Linked DNA regions of Pelodiscus sinensis. The protein of the gene in region 1 purifies or fractionates together with the protein of each later gene. This does not show direct contact. Links are inferred from orthologs where the notes say so. Each region holds a gene or a part of one and is shown on either strand. Other genes may lie near its edges.

What was found.
Region 2: the proteins of NHSL3 (region 1) and WASF1 purify together in Homo sapiens (affinity purification with mass spectrometry; 3 studies listed by BioGRID and IntAct, with this or other methods). This does not show direct contact. The link is inferred for Pelodiscus sinensis from reciprocal best matches to the Homo sapiens genes NHSL3 and WASF1.

What each region holds. Positions count from the first base shown.
Region 1 is NC_134735.1:3,324,403-3,328,312, reverse strand, and holds the start of NHSL3 (NHS-like protein 3), read left to right. Parts: upstream 1-1,385; coding exon 1,386-1,668; intron 1,669-3,910. UniProt on the Homo sapiens protein: Able to directly activate the TNF-NFkappaB signaling pathway.
Region 2 is NC_134713.1:78,569,659-78,573,568, forward strand, and holds the start of WASF1 (actin-binding protein WASF1), read right to left. Parts: upstream 2,800-3,910; 5' UTR 2,344-2,799; intron 1-2,343.

The DNA.
Region 1 (3,910 bases):
AATATCAAGACTGTCGCTATGACATCGAGACATCTGATTACCCTGAGCAAAACTGCTGTGAGGTCTCCAGTATGTCCGAACAAGAATTCAGATTACACAGCTGGCCCATCCAGTCTCTTGCTTTAACCACTGGACTACACTCCTATCCAAGCTCTCAGTAGGAGAGCCCCCCAGGCCACAGAGGTAAGCTCACAGTTCCCAGCGCTCACCAAGACACTCCACACTCACGTCCATTTTAATGCTATAACTGGTGGTTTTATATTTAAAAACCAACCAACCCACCCTGGCCCATCATGGCTAGAAGGTGCAGTTAGTTTTTTTTTCCCAGGGGATGCTGGAAATGCCCCCCAGGCTCCCAGGGGATGGTGCAGCAGCCAATTCTAATGTAATGCAAAGGGGAAAGTTCAATGCGAAGTGATGCTGGTTTATTTCGTTTAAAAACGACCCCCTAATCAACGGAACCATCGCAACGGAGAGCCCCCCCCACACCCCAAGTCCAGCGCGTCGGGGGGGGGGGGGCAGAGAGGAAGGGACAAAGCAGGAGGTGTGCAACATCCTGCCCAGCGAAGACTCGCCCCCCGCTAATCAGACTCAGTCACAAAGGGGCCTTTCTCTCCCCAGCCTCCTCCCGGGCTGGGAGCCTCCGCCGAACTGGGGGCGGCTGGCTTGGAAGCGCGGGGCCCCTCCCCAGCCGGGAGGAGATGAATCCTCCCCTCCCTCTTAACCTGCCCCTTGCTGCCCCCCATCCAGCCAGCGCGCCCACGCACCTCCCCTTCCCCAACAGCAGCTCAGCCCCCCAGCCCTGGGACCGGCCCCACCCACCCTCTGCCCTAGGCCGCTGCCCGCTCCCCCTCCGGCCAGGCCGCCGCCGGCTGCTACCTGCCGCCGCGCTCCCTTGGCACCGGGCCGGGATGGGCGGTTCAGCCCGGGCCGGGCCCCTCTCCAGTGCGCCCGGCGCGGGCTGGGGCGCGCCGGCCCCGGGCTGAGCGGCGAGCGGTCGCGGAGCGCCGCGCTGGGCAGCCGGGGAGGCGGGGAGAGGGGCCGGGGGCAGAGCCGCTCCACACCCCAGCGCGCTCGGCAGGCCCCGCCCGCTCGCCCGCCCGGGAGAAACTTTCCCCGGCTGCTTCCTTGGCGCCTTGTGCAGCCGGGCGCGGGAGGAGCCGGGGCGCGCCAGGGCGCGGGAGCCGGGGCAGGTGAGGGGCCCCGGCGCTCAGGACCGCGGAGAGGCGAGCTGGGGCGCACGGGAGAGGGGCGCAGGAGACGGGCAGAGCAGCCGCTTCCCCCCGCCCCGGATGGGGCGCTCGGTGGCTCCCCCGGGCGGAGCGTAGCGCAGGCGAGCTCTCCCCGCCGAGCCGTGGGGCTCCCCCCGCCCCAGCTCTTCGGAGATGGCCGGGAGGCGCTCGCACGCTGCACCTGCGGCGGCCGAGGACACCTGGATCCCGGCGGCAGGGCAGGAGAAGGGCGACGGGCCTCCCGCCGAGGGGCCCCCGAAGAAGAAGAAGCCCAAGGCGGGTTCCACCCTGCGCCGGGCGTTCAGCTGGCTTCGGGGCAAGAGGAAGAAGAAGAAGAGCAGCGGCTCCAGCGCCCACCACGGGGCGCCCCCAGCGGAGGGGGAGGCGGCCTCCAAGGGAAAGAAGCAAGAGGAGCGAGCCAAGAAGAAGGGCAAAGGTAGGGCAGGGTGGAGGAGAGGTGCCTTGGCGAGGGGCTCTTTGCTGGCTGGGTCTCTCCTTCCACCCCTGGTACCACCCAGACGCTTCCCTCTGCCCCCCGTTTGGGGCCAGCTCGCAGGAGCCCTGCGAGGGGTGTAGCCACCCCCACGTTGCCCTCGCTCTTGTTATGGCTGTGGCAGCAGGCCTGTTCCAGTTCCCTGCAATGGAGAATGCCAGGCGCCCCGCGTAATCTCATTCCTCCCCGCGGGGAGGTTGCCGGTTCACTGGGTATGTTCTCTCTCCGCTGAGTCAGAAGGTCACAGAGACTGGAAGAAACCTGGAGCTACTCCAGAGACGACCTCAGCCGGGTCTTCGCAGGACCTGTGCTGCTCCAGGTGTAGCCTCTCGCTGCGGCCTAGGGCCTGCTGCCAACATCGCCAGCCAGGCCTTGGCGGGGCCTGGGAAACTGGAGGTGATTCCTCCCCATTACTTCAGGGTGGTGGGTAGGGGCTGCTCTATTGCTGCAGGCCTTCAGCGTCTGGCTGTGGGGTCATAGCCGGAAATGGCAAAGGCCTGTTAGTTCCACTGCGTCCTTTGGCAGGGCAGGATACGATCCCTCCGAGAGTGGGTACCACTACTAAACCCAGGCTCTGCTCATTCCCGCCACTGCTCCTGCATATGACGTGACTGGGGGCTAAGCCCTTCGTCCCCGGTTCTAGACCCTCCTCCAGCCGTCCGGGCGAGGCTATGCCGTGTTGGGGCCGTTCTCCGTTTGCATATGGCCCAGTATAGCAGTAATAAGAAGGAAGTGCTGCTTGTTGTCCCTTCTAAGCTGGAGCTGTTTCGCCCAGGCTGGGCTGTGGTGTCAGGGACCCTGTGTGCGCTGTTGACTCTGCTCACCTGTTAGAACATCAGGACAAAGTCTCTTCTGCCTGGCCTTTTGGAAAAGGGGGGACAGATTCCTGTACTAATCCATCCCATGATTCATTGCCCTGTATTACCGTTCTTGCTCCCGTGCTGGGTGCTCATTACTTTAATTTGCAGGTATCCATAATGTGGGGAGTTGCTGTTTTTTCAGCGGCTTTGTTGCTCTTTTAGTGGTCTGCCATTTATTGCTTTCGAGAGCCCACTGAGAGCTCTTAAGAGAGGAGCAGCCATGGAAACATAAGTTGCTCTTACAAAGAGATCTTTGAAAGATGGCTGAGTTTTCACCTAAAAGTCTCATCAGATGCTACCAGTGCGTCCTGTCAGACTTGTCTGGCTGCAGCTTTCCCCTAGTGTTACGTGCTCAGCTACCACAGTGATGGGCGAAGCGTAGGAACCTGAATATCACCCAGGATGATATTCTTCAAGTGGTGCAACACCAGCATCGGCTCCGTATCTAATCTTCAAAACAAGGCCTGTCCAACCAGTCATTGCTGGAGTTGGGATTGGAATGTAGGAGACCTTGACTCTCTTATAGGCACTGGCCGTGTGTGGTTAAAGCCAGCTAGGATTCCAGCACTGTGCTTCCTTCTAGCATGGCTGCCCAGCCCTTTGGCAAGTGCAAACTGGGTATCTGCCCCCCGCCCGCCCAAACTGCTGGAAATCCCCCACTTCCTGGGACTTGTGAGCCTGTTGTAGGCCTTCCTCTGCTCTGCTGGAGGAAACGTCCCCCTTTTGCGTGGGAGACTGCCGGCTGCGTCTGTGTGCCGTGGAGCTGTACCCCGTACCTAGAGTTCCTTCTGTGTTTCCGTAGTGCAGCCATTTCTTGGCGTGACGGGGAGAGAGGTGTGGAGTGGTAGAAACAAACATGCATGTGAAATGACTGCAGTTTGCGTGCCTGATTAAGTCACCCCCGTCTGCTCTAATAACATGCTGGCTTCCAAAATGCAGAGCGTTGCTGGAACCACACCCTGTTTAACCCTTCCCATCCCAGCGGCTTATCCATTTGAGTTCCAATGTGGTGAAACTTCCATGGATCAGAGGAGTAAACTCTGGGTGGTGATCAAGGAAGCCTGGCTCCATTACTGTCTTGTTCTGTAATCTTGGGCAAGTCGTGGTCCGTGTTTGTGTTGTGAGCCCCTGGAAAAGGGGGGAAACACTTCCCTAGCTCACTAGGGGGGCTGTGAGGATTCTTCACTGAACGTTTGGGCAGCGCTTTGCAGATGGAAAAAGTGACAGCTATTGAAGTGCTAAGTTATTGATTGGGCTCCTCTGTGCGCTAGGGCTGCAGAGCTGTGCCCTGGAGTCAGGTAACACTCAGCTGCCATTGCCTGAAA
Region 2 (3,910 bases), on another chromosome or scaffold:
CGTAACGCAGGGACTGCCTGTAGTCTATATCATTATCCCATAATCTTTTGCTTATCAGTTAATCGACTATACTAGTACATATCTTAAGGTTCTGATGTGTCTGCTCATCAAAGCTGTATCTCACCTTCTACACCAGGGGTTCTCAACATGTTTTCCTTCTGAGGCCTTACCTCTCAATATACTACAAAAAATGTCACTGCACACCTGTACCCCAACAGCTGTGTTTCCGTATAACCAATCAATTGAAAGCCAGAGCTGGTGTTGGGGGTACCAAGCATCCAAGGCTCTACAAAAGCTAAATTATTTGGGCTTTGGCTTCAGATCTCAGCAGCAGGGTCCAAGCTTTGGCTTTCTATCCAATACTCACTGGTTTCCAGCACCATTCCTGCTCTCTGGTTTATTTTGTTGGACCTCCTGAAACTGGCTCACGGCCCTCCGAAGAGGTCCCATTGTTGAGAATCATTGTTCTTTACCACTGTTTATAGACACGCTACTTGGACATGCAATATCTGTACCCTACAACCACCACATATGTAGACCTACCCATTGTTTTAGTTCTGAAGAATGTGTTGACAACATACCTCACTGGAAGTAGCAGGTGGACAATAGCAAATTTACACTAGCAAATAATTCTAAAGGTTGTACTGTGACTTTACTCCAGACCCTTAAATGATTACACTTTACTATAATATATTGAGCACAACAGAGTTTAACTAAAAGCTGTAGTTTCCATCACGATAGTACGAGATTAATATACACAGATTGATTTAACAGAGATTCAGCATTAAGAAAATATTGCTTTTATATAAATTGATTTGCAGCATAATACTTGAGATACAATATTTAAATAGCAATGTTACACCAAAGATTAGTTTGACAAACAGACTTTGAAATACATTATTACCTTTCAACAACTATACCATGCAACTACAGACAACACCCTGTAGGTGCATACCAGGAAAACAAGGAATGCACTTTTATAGAATCACCTAACAATTGCTGGCAGGCAGTATGAGAGTCAATGACAGCTGTATTCTCAAAATTAACAAATCACATATGGGGTAACTCACATCTGGTGTTTAAGCAGAAGGTAAATCACAAAACTTGTTTTGCTATTGTACCATACATAGTCCATTTATAAAGATGAAATAAAAGTTGTACACATCAAATGTCGAAATAAAAAAAAGGTTTAGAAAACAGAAATTTCCCCTAAAACAAGTCTTGCAGTTATTTTTATGTCAATATTATTTCTGCTACTTTGGTTCTAGAGTGGCCATGATCACTAAAAAAAAATTAAAAACAGCATGTAAGAAATATTAAAGCCTCATGCTGCATTTTCTACTTGCTATGCTTTACTCTTGTTGATACCTTCAAAGGAATCCAGTGGGTTTCCTTTAAAACTGAAATATTTGCTAGAAATGTGAAAATCCAACATCACAAAGCAAACTAAAACATCTAATTACTATATTTATTTCTGATTCCAAAACACAAAACTGAATGAAACAAAATCATTCATAGACACATGAATAATAGATCTAGAAGGACTTCCTACATGCTTAAGATACAAGTACAGATTACTTTGGGCTATTACATTTTATAATTATTGTAGCCACACGTTAAACTGGCACAGAGGGATGGATGTTTTGGTGGCTGGAGGAGGCGGAGGGCTACATGGTGTTGGGATTGCTGTTTGGAGGTCTTTTGCTCACAGGCAACAGCGGAACAATGGTAGCAATCTTTCAAATTGGCAGCTATTTCCAGTGAGTATGATTGAATCTGCTTCTCTTCAAAAGGCAAATCGCATCTAGCTCCATCATCCATTCCCACCTCTGGCCTCTACAGTCCTCATTACATAAATTAAGCGGAGGTGGCTGGGTCAGGGTAGTAGCGAGCGTCTTGTGACAACCAACGAACGCCCCCCCATCAATTACTGACCCCAACAATGGAAAGGTCCCGCCCCGTGAGTGAGGCTCTGCACTGGGTGCTGCACTTGGAGGCGGGGGGGGGGGGGGAGACATTTCGCTGCTAAAAGTGCAAAACCACCCTCACCCCGCAGCCAGAGGCGAGGAACTGACACACCTGTCCCTGCAACAGCCGGAGGAGGCTCGGCGCTCACCCCCCACCCAAACACCAGCTGCAGCCAGCTAGAGAGGGACCCCACTGGCTCACCCCCATTGCTCCCTTCACCCCAGGGCAGATGGGGGGCACCCTGAGGGGGGAAGGATGGCGAAGGTGTCACTCTGGGTGGGGATGGAAGGATGGCGGGGGCCGATGAAGGGCCGCTGCCCTCCCCGCGGTGGGCGCAGGTCACGGCGGAGGAGGCGCAGACTGCGGGGCACTTACTCTCGCCGCTCAGCGCGCTGCTCCCCTCACACCTTCATGCCGCCGACCAGCCCCGCCCTCTCAGCGCCCCCGAGGCTCGCGCTGCTCCCTGCTCGCTACGAATCCGAAGTTCAAACGGCTCCTTCCAACCGCCTCACCCTGCTGGAGAGACTCGCTGTGGAGGGGAAGGACCCGAACCCGGCGCGAGCTGGGGGGCGGCGGCGCGGAGCTCCCCAAAGGCTTCACAATAGACACAGAGCGGCGCGTGTGTGTGCGCGTGGGAGGAGGGGCTTCTCCCCGGCCCGGACACACTCGCCAAGCGTGTGGCGGCTGTTTACTCAACACCTGACCGGCCTTCGCCGCCTCCCCTAGGAACTAGGTGAATGCCTCCCCCAAAATCCGTGACATTGAGTATTAGGGAGCCCCGATTTCTCCACACACCCCCTCAAAATGGCAGGTGGTATAGTCCAGTTCGTTCGCTAGTCGAGCTGGGGGGGAGGGGCCGAAGGCATTGTGACGTTTTCTAAAGCCGGCTTCGGGCAGCCAATGGGAATGGGAAAGGAGTGGTTAGACGGAGAGTGGGTGGAGCTGCTTGTTGCTCCAAAGAGAGTGGGAGGGGCTGTTTCCATCGAGTGTCTCCTGCTGTACTTAGCGCAGCGTGGTTAGTGCGCAGATGCATGGTTTCTGTTCGAGGGTCCTGGCGGTACGCAGAACTCTCTGAATATGTGCATGTATCGGTTTCCTCGTGTATGAAATAGGGCAGTTAAAAGTTACTTATCTGACAGAATAGTAATAGAAATGTAGCGGTGTTAGTCTGGTGTAGCTGAAGCAAAATGCAGGACTATGTAGCACTTTAAAGACTAACAAGATGGTTTATTAGATGATGAGCTTTCGTGGGCCAGACCCACTTCCTCAGATCAAATAATGGAAGAAAATAGTCACAACCATATATACCAAAGGATACAATTTAAAAAAATGAACACATATGAAAAGGACAAATCACATTTCAGAACAGGGGGGGGAGGAAGGTAAGTGTCTGTGAGTTAATGATATTAGAGGTGGGGAAAGGTAGCTATCTTTGTAATGGGTAAAGTAGTTGGGGTCGAATTTTAGCATGAATGACAGTTCAGAGGATTCCCTTTCAAGTGCAGATGTAAAAGGTCTTTGTAGCAGAATGTAGGTAGATAAGTCGTTGAGATAGTGTCCTTTCTGGTTGAAATGGCAAGAAATTGTTTTTTCTTTGCGATCCTGTCTGATATCTGTTTTGTTGGCGTTAATCCTTTCGCGAAGAGTCTGAGACGTTTGTCCAATGTACATAGCAGATGGACACTTTCGGCACATGATAGCATAAATTATATTTCTGGATGCGCAGGAATATGTGTTCTTGATCTTATAACTCACTTGGTTAGGTCCAATAATGGTATCAGCAGATATCACCCTTACCTGACGGAGAGGGTGAAGTCCATGTGTGTGAGAAGAAGTGACAATGCACGCATTGTTATCAACTGCATAAAGTTCATATTGAAACCAACAAAGCAATTGATGGATTACAACAATCAGGTTGACATTAGTGCTGCCTTGGACAGTA